Linked DNA regions of Daphnia pulex. The protein of the gene in region 1 interacts with the protein of each later gene in a pairwise test. Links are inferred from orthologs where the notes say so. Each region holds a gene or a part of one and is shown on either strand. Other genes may lie near its edges.

The links.
Region 2: the proteins of DNA primase large subunit-like (region 1) and rho GTPase-activating protein 1-like interact in a two-hybrid assay, tested with the Drosophila melanogaster proteins (2 studies listed by BioGRID). The link is inferred for Daphnia pulex from reciprocal best matches to the Drosophila melanogaster genes Prim2 and RhoGAP68F.

The regions. Positions count from the first base shown.
Region 1 is NC_060018.1:6,170,266-6,174,483, reverse strand, and holds DNA primase large subunit-like, read left to right. Parts: upstream 1-1,418; 5' UTR 1,419-1,577; coding exon 1,578-1,731; intron 1,732-1,796; coding exon 1,797-2,134; intron 2,135-2,205; coding exon 2,206-2,436; intron 2,437-2,506; coding exon 2,507-2,656; intron 2,657-2,729; coding exon 2,730-2,912; intron 2,913-2,981; coding exon 2,982-3,177; intron 3,178-3,242; coding exon 3,243-3,541; 3' UTR 3,542-3,953; downstream 3,954-4,218. Other genes in the region: fucose-1-phosphate guanylyltransferase-like, read right to left, coding at 39-233, 317-562, 653-713. UniProt on the Drosophila melanogaster protein: Regulatory subunit of the DNA primase complex and component of the DNA polymerase alpha complex (also known as the alpha DNA polymerase-primase complex) which play an essential role in the initiation of DNA synthesis.
Region 2 is NC_060017.1:1,508,076-1,512,188, reverse strand, and holds rho GTPase-activating protein 1-like, read right to left. Parts: upstream 2,801-4,113; 5' UTR 2,731-2,800; coding exon 2,686-2,730; coding exon of another isoform or gene 2,684-2,685; exon of another isoform or gene 2,636-2,683; intron 2,557-2,635; coding exon 2,436-2,556; intron 2,358-2,435; coding exon 2,244-2,357; intron 2,174-2,243; coding exon 1,931-2,173; intron 1,832-1,930; coding exon 1,774-1,831; intron 1,715-1,773; coding exon 1,496-1,714; intron 1,439-1,495; coding exon 1,340-1,438; intron 1,284-1,339; coding exon 1,090-1,283; intron 1,027-1,089; coding exon 814-1,026; intron 757-813; coding exon 650-756; intron 588-649; coding exon 417-587; 3' UTR 244-416; downstream 1-243. Other genes in the region: uncharacterized protein LOC124194419, read left to right, coding at 2,951-3,067, 3,152-3,549, 3,614-4,113. UniProt on the Drosophila melanogaster protein: Functions as a GTPase-activating protein (GAP) for RhoA/Rho1 during gastrulation by converting it to an inactive GDP-bound state.

The DNA.
Region 1 (4,218 bases):
CAAATGAAAAAAAGAAAGAAGAATTATTAAACAATTACCTTCTAAACAAAAAGTTTCTATATCATCAGAAGCACAAATAAATATTCCTCCATTTTTCATCAGTTTAAGAAAAGGTGAAGTAATAATAAATTTTAAATTTAGAAGTGTTATTGCTTTTCCTTCAACTTCTAGTGGCAATGGACAAAATAACTTTCCAGTACAGCTTAAATTTGGTAATCTTTTACTAGATCCCCCTAAAATAAAAATATTTTTTAAAGAAATAAAAAAAATAGTATTAACTGAAACATGTAAGTAGGCCTATAACATCAATTCCTACCAGCATGACTAATCCAAATTTTCATCTCAAATAGATCATTGGCAAAAAGTTTTTTTAAATGTTTCAGAATATGAAAGGTAGATCCACCTGACCCCAAAGCATATCCAGGACAATCAGCAATGACTAAATATTTAGTAGCCCTTGGTATTTCTCCATTTTCCAGTTTCTCATCAATTTGCTGTTTGAAACATTCTTTTTGTTCTTCATCTCCGGCAGATATGACTACACAATCCCAAAAACCATCGTCTAAACAGATAAAAGGTAAAATGTCAAACAATCTCACTGACTTGTGATAATTTGTGTGATGGATGAAGTTTTTACTTGTTAAAAACTAACCTAAAGATGTTTTGTTAAAGTTTTCCGCTAACTGAACCATGTACTTCTGGATTCGTTCCATTTTTGTGACTGTTGTAGCATTTTCCAGGACGACGTAGGCTTAGTAACTTTGCCACGTAAACACTTTAAACAGTCCAAATTTCATATTTCAGGTAAAAACACAGATGTTTATTGACGTATTCAAAACATGGGAATTCAGAGACCCCTGGAGGGTGTTAGAGAAAGATAACACGGGTAATTTATCGGACTTCGGATATGATTCTGAGCCTAAACCTTTGGGAAACGAAGTTATTTACTGATACAGATTTCTGGAATTAAATATGTTTTAATTTTTGACGAAAAAAGCGAAAAGTAGTAATCATTTTCATATCACAGGTAATGTGTCGTCTGTCTCGTGTCCCGTGTGGTTAGTTTGAATTGCAAAACAACGAACTCTTATAGACATACCATGGACATACTGCAATTAGCGAACTCTTTCATTTTCATAGAGGCATTCGCACTTAATTATTTATGGTCCAAAATTTAATTACAGTCGTCGCAAGCCCGCAGCTGCGTGAGACAATGAATTGGGTGAGGCAAAGATTAGATTTCCTGCAATCCTTGCAAAATTCTAATTAATAAAAACTTTGAATAACTTTAAAGCTATTTAATATGCATGATTTGTATCTAGCAAGTTCGCAAGTCTTCGAATTTATTTTAGAGCGGTTGCATTTGCATGCAACTTGCAATCAATTTGGAATCCTTTTTTTTTCGCCAATTTTATATCTGGCATCACCGTTGCTTTAGTTTGAGCGCGAAAAGAGATCTTTTGTTGTTTCATTTACCGTCTGCTACTCTGCTTTATGTTAAGTGTTAACCGCGCAGTAAACTTGGTAGAAAAAAAATTTTGTTGAATAAATTCCGAGGGAAATAGTTACTTTTAAAAATGGAATTTCAACGCAACACAGTTCGGCGAACTATAAAAAATTCTATGAAGCTAAGAAGTGAATATCCTCATTCTCTGCAACTATATTCCGTACCTCCCAGTGAAACCATCGGTTTGCAAGAACTTGAAGATTGGGCTGTCGAACGTCTCAAAGGTATAATAATTGGTCATAACTTCTTATTAATTACCTCCGTAATTACTTCAAATTTTTATCAACAGTTCTTAGGACAATAGAGCGTGTCAATCTGAGTAAAAATGCCAGATTCTCTGATGATTGGAAGACTGCCCTGAAAAATGATTTACAAAAGCAGAACTTGAACAGTTGGTATCAACTGAGCTCAAGTATCAAAGATGATAAGATGGATGAAATCATTTCAAAAACACGACAGAAAGATCATGTTTCTCACTTCTTGATGAGACTTGCATATTGCAGGACTGAAGAGTACAGGCGTTGGTTCATTGCTCAGGAAACTGATCTCTTCCGCTTTAGATTTTCGATGGAAAGTTCAGAAGATATCAGGGCATTTATGAAAGAAAACAAAATGAATTTTCTACCCGTATGTAGAGATATTGCAAATATTCACCAAATTATTACTTATTTAATTATATTTCACCAAACATTTTACAGATTCCAGAGGAAGAAAAAAAGAAGATATTGACTAAACTTATACATGCTGCCCAATTTAATGCCAATAAAGTTGATGCAGTGGAATATTACAAGGTTCCCTTTACAGAGGCTTTAGATTTAGTTCGCCATCGCAAAGTATACTTGCAAGCCGGATTTGCATACATTCCAAGCGAGGACCTCGTTTCCATAATCACAGCTATGTTCCGCTCTCATTTATCACTTGCTATGGCGGTAAAAGAAAATAATTTTTTAATATTCACTGAATAACTTATTTAAAGATATTTTTTTTATTGGATTGAAGCTTACTATGCGTTCACTACCAGAGCTAGAGGACGATCATCGAATCCGTCGCTTACTGAATGACTTTGATAAACGATATACCGGTCAAGATTTTAACTCTCTACAAAATAAATCTTCTGGTGCCGCTGTAACACCAGAAATGATTGATGGGGTAAGACCAACAAATTTCCGTGCTTGCTTTATAAAAACAAAAATAGTAAATCATTAAAATGTATGATTTGCAGTTGTCAAAACAATCTTTCCCACTCTGTATGAGACATTTACACGAGACATTGCGTTCTACTCATCATTTAAAACACGGCGGACGTATGCAGTATGGACTTTTTGTCAAAGGAATCGGACTTAGCTTGGAAAATTCATTGAAGTTTTGGAGGGAGGAGTTCTCCAAAAATATGGATATGGATAAGGTTGGTAAACCTCCACCGAGGATCAAAGTTTCATCAAAACTTCTCCTTACATTTCCCTATTTCCTTTAGTTTGAAAAGCAATACGCATACAATATTCGCCACAATTACGGCAAGGAAGGAAAAAGAATCAATTACGCACCTCAAAGCTGCATCAAAATCATTACTGCCAGCGTAGGTCCGGGTGAGAATCACGGTTGTCCGTTCAGACACTTTGATGCTGCCGTCCTTCGACAGAAAATGACAATGAATCGTGTTCCTCAGCCAGGTAGTAATTAATTTCATATGCATGTCTTTGATCACGTAATTTAATTTGTTTTGGTGCCCTTCTAGCGATTCAAGAAATAGTCGATCTAGTGACACGCCATCATTACCAGATTGCCTGCCAGCGGTACTTTGAAGCCACGCACAACACCGAGATTGATAGTGGTATCCAGCACCCAAACCAGTATTTTATCGAAAGCCAAAAGATCCTCAACGGTGAAGTGAAGGAGAAAATCAAGGGAGCGAATAAGGTACAGACCATTCGTGCTACTCTTCCAGCTAAAGTAGAGAAACTTGAAACAAATGAAAATGAGGTTCTCAGCGAATCCGTTTTAGCAGCAATTGATATGGATGATGATTTCAACTAAATAGTTTAAATCAACTTTTACTTGAAAGCCGTACAAAGGGTTTTATCGATAAATTGTATCTAGCTAGAAGTATTGCGCACTGCATTCGGTTGATCAATAAGATTCCCCAACTGAATAAGCTTGCCTTTTAGAAGTTTGTAACAAAATCGTAGAGATCGTATGTTAAGGCGCGTTTGAACTTAACTTGAATATCTTTCCCACGGCATCAGATGTATATCATTTCTTATCTAAAATGTATCCCTGAAACTTTGCGTAATTGAATTTTGTAAACTCAAAGTTTCATCCGAAAAGAAAGTTTTGGTGCATTATTTGAAAGGGAAACTTGCGTCCGCTCAAAGTACTTTTTGAGGTTGGTGTGCTTTTTCCTAATCGTCAAAAATAACTTTTGGAACAATAGAATAATAGAGAGAGACATACTTCGTGATTGGCACTTGTGTATTTTACTTTTCGGTATGCATGCTGTACAAAATTTCACAGTCACTAAACGCTGAAGTTTACAATTCAGTGACTTTGATGTTTTTAGTACACGGAAGCTGCGGGATAAAAACTTTTAAGAAAGTCTAATTAACGAATCCCTGTTTTGAAATAATCTCGCCACATTGGGGAGAAATTGAACGATCTAGAAAAGTAATAGTACTATGGTTTTTGTGTATATGCAAAAAAAAAAACATTCTAAA
Region 2 (4,113 bases), on another chromosome or scaffold:
AATTGTATATCATACTATGTATTTTCTTACGCTCTTTTTTGCACTTTCTTTTTTTGTTCATAAGTGACAAATAAATTAATATAGCCCCAGCCAGTTTTTTTTTTGCAATGTTTGGTTTCTTTTGGTATTATGGTTTCACTTAAAATTAACAAATTCGGTAAACAAAGTCAAAACTTTTGTAGGACAATGTTCGTATTTTTTTACAATTCACTAAATGAATTGGTTACCTATAAAGAATATAAATCAATTTGAGAGGTATTTGTATACACCTTGACCTGCAGAACACTCATTTGACACAACCGTTAACTAAAAAGGGGGTAAGCGCGAGTCTAATCTGATAACGAAAAGGCTCCAATAACGGGGGAATCAGCAGTCCGAGAAGACTAGGTGGAGAGAAAGCCATTGGAAAGTCTCAACTACAAGATGAAAATTTCTAAATAGTGAGACAAAATATGCTCCGTCAAGGCGTTAATGGGTCCGATAGCCGATAAAGACATTTGCTGGTTCTGAGACCAGACTAAATTGGGCCCAAATACCACAGCGAGATTGAACGATGTCATTTTGTTCAAGTCGCTTCTATCTTGAACCTAGAATTAAAATATAGTTTGTATCGAGGAATTAAAAAATAATGATAATAATTAGACCCTACTTTGGCGAGAAATTGTGCAAGGTATTTCAATAAGATGTAATTATCCTCTGGTAACCTTTCCAAGATAAGTGTTTTTACCATTTGAGCACGTTCCTCCTTGTTCAAACCTATAAAACAGCTTTAAAGTTTCAGTAGACAATAATTCCAATGATGAACAAACTTACGTTGAAAATTTATAATGTCGTCAAAGAGGTCAAACGTCATTAGGGGCTCCTTCAGTTCACGCAAAAATGTTTTCAGTGTTACAGCAGCTAGATGATAATCGCCAGGAAAGTCACGCTGAAAATCAATCGATTCACCCCGATTAATCCGGGACTGAACGTCACGTACTAACGAAACACTAGCTGAGCGACGGAATAATCCTTCCGTTTCCAAAGCTGTCAATTAAGATTTCCATTACAGTAATTGATTCCTTTGATTTAAATAACTGGGGAAATAACCATCTGGTTGGCTGAGGAACTCCACACAGCGAGAGACTACCGGCGGAATGACCTGGCCATTGTTGCGTTCCTTGATAAATTGCAGTGTCACACCAAACTGTTGGGTAGGTAAAGGTTGGACAGATGAAGAAGAATCCACCTGAGAACCTTGTCCTGACTTGTTAGCAATTTTTGACATCAGCTGAGCGTCATGTCTGCCATTAAAGAACTAATTAAAAAACGATTAAACATATGATTTACATTTTCTTACGTTAGCACGGGTGGCGGTATGTTAACTTGATTAAGATGGATATGGTTACCCAATTCACTGAGGTAATTAACGTACATCATCTTCCGCCCGAATTTAATGCTTAAAAAAAATGTTACTATATGCTGAAATGTCGCATAACACAGAAAACAGATCTACCTGATAAATGGCTTGAATAATTGCCAAATTACTCTAATGAAATTTGTAGGGTGTACAAGGTACAAGGCTTTCAGATTTTTCTTGTACTTTCGATCGAAAGCGCGATACGCTTGTAAAAGCCACCGAAAAGACGGTTTGTTCTGACTGTTGAGACCATGATGAAAGTACACAACAGTGTAATCAGTCTCAACATAGTTATCCAAAGTGTGCATCAAGTAACTGTAAAATGAATACATGTATTATTTACTGTTGAGCATACATGTGCAATATTTTATTACCTCAGCAATCTGTTATGATCCAGCACTTTGTTACTTGGCAACCTGCAAGCAGAGACAACTGTAGAGAAAACACACAAAAAAACCCAATATTAACAAAAAATAATGAAAAATAAATAAAAAACAATGATTAGAATGATGAAATAATAATTTAACATACCAATAACCTTGCGGCCATATGTGTCATCACCCACTACATCAACAATTCTATGTTGAGCAACATCAATGAAATCATCCACATCAAGTTCCTTTAATGAATCTCTTTGCTCTGGAATTAGAGATGGATATTCTGGAATTAAAGATGGTAAGCCAAATGCTTCTTCAAAGTTCTCCTCAATGGTGCCATCAGACACAGGAGTCTCTAGAAATTCATCGGATTCTATTCCAATTCCAATAATTTCCCCTAAAATTTCAAAAACGCATATTAATTTATTTGACCTTTAGTAAAATCAATATTATACAAAGTTACACACCTTCATCATCAACTGGTTGTTGGAGTTCAGTATCGTCAAATTCTAAATTTGGTTCATAATCATGTATATCAGAAAGGCTTGGATATGGATCTTCAGTCTCTCCAGTCAAATAAGCTAGCAAGGAAAATGTTAAATAATAACAACAGACACAACTTCTCCCATACTTTTAATATGCATTTAATCAACATTTACCTGGTATTGCAGATCTTGGTTTGCTGGGGCTATCGCGATTCATTTTGTGTCCTTTTTTGTGGCATTTGGTTAATATTTTCTTCACAATAAGTTCTCTAAACAGATCTAGGGTGGTACTAACCTACAGATCAGAGAAAATACACGAATTAGGAATAAAAAATGTACAACTGCCCATAACGAACTATTAGTTATATCACTGTACAATCTTTTGCGGAAGATCACTTTTCCATACAAGAATCGGTTAATATACCTCTATGCTCGAGGCAACTGTCAAATATAAGATAACAATCCACATATGAGGAAGAGGAAACGCAGCAACGCAACCCTTTTGCCGTAACGAGTTGTTGAACCTTATGGGCCCAAGGTTGTTGAAAACTTGTAGCAGACGAATTCTTTTTCGAATTTTCTTTCAATGTTGAATGTGTAACACTAGTACAACTTTGATCTGATAGAAGATCTAATTGATAGATGCTACGGCTAATCAATTTAGAAATCCTGTAACTTAAATTTAAAAAATGTTATCTCCTTCGCGAAAATATCATTTGCCGAATTCTCTTTGCTATTCGTTTTCAAACTACCCCTCTGAAAATTTTCTTGAGGAATATCATGGTTCGAATGATATCCCTATCAAGGTATGTAATTGGTTTGGCAGCTATTATTTGCTTTTTTGTCTTTTCCCTTGAAAATGAAAAATCATTTTGAAAATCATTTCCTAGGTGCTAATATTATCATGTGGAGATTTACCCTTTGCTGTTAAGTCTACTTCTCTCAGTTCCAATCAAAGAATTGCTAACATCACTGTAACAGATATGTCTGCAATGGCCATGGCACGAAATATCTTGTTTGCAAAAATAATTACTGATACAAAATTTAATCCTGACAGCAATGAAGATTTACAATATTTGTGGGATATATGGTATAATATGGAGTGGTCATCAGTAACTAAAGAGAGGTTTTTGAAGGACATCACAGAATTGAGCATTGATTGTTTCTCAGATAATTTAAAGGTTCCTGTTGAAAGTGATTTGTCTGTTCTAAAGAACATATGGAAATTCTGGGTTTCATCAGTGTCTGAAGTAAACTTAGCTACCATGCAACAAATTCACAAACAAAGGTAAAAATAATAAGAAACAAACTATTGTGAAACAGACTTAATAATAAAATTTTATGCATTCCAGGTATGAATCCATTATAAATAACATTCATGAACTTGGGTCAAGCAAAACCTCAAAATCAGATGACAGTGTTTACAAGCCAACATTAGCTGAAGTATGGAAGTGGATGATTGCGCAGACAAAAGCTCATATTGATCAAAAAGCAAGCAGAAATGCCGAAGAAATGCGTATCTATTTTGAAACGGGCAACTGCTCTCAGGACAAAGAAATAATGATCTGCATCAATCCAACGCTCTTGGAACCAGCAACCGGCCACTGGACACTGATTTCTTCCGTTTCACCGTTTGAAATGTATTTAAATCTCAAACAGTTGCCCGCTCAGGGGAACTTTCTAGAATCCTGTAAGAAGGCTTTGTGCAATCAAGTTATGAGCTATCAAAAATGGATTACAGAAGCTACATTGACTTTTCACATTGGTGATGCATTAGAGCTGTGTTATCGCAAAACGTGGACAGAACCGTTTAATATTGTAGATTTTTCAAAATTACCTAACCATGTTGGTT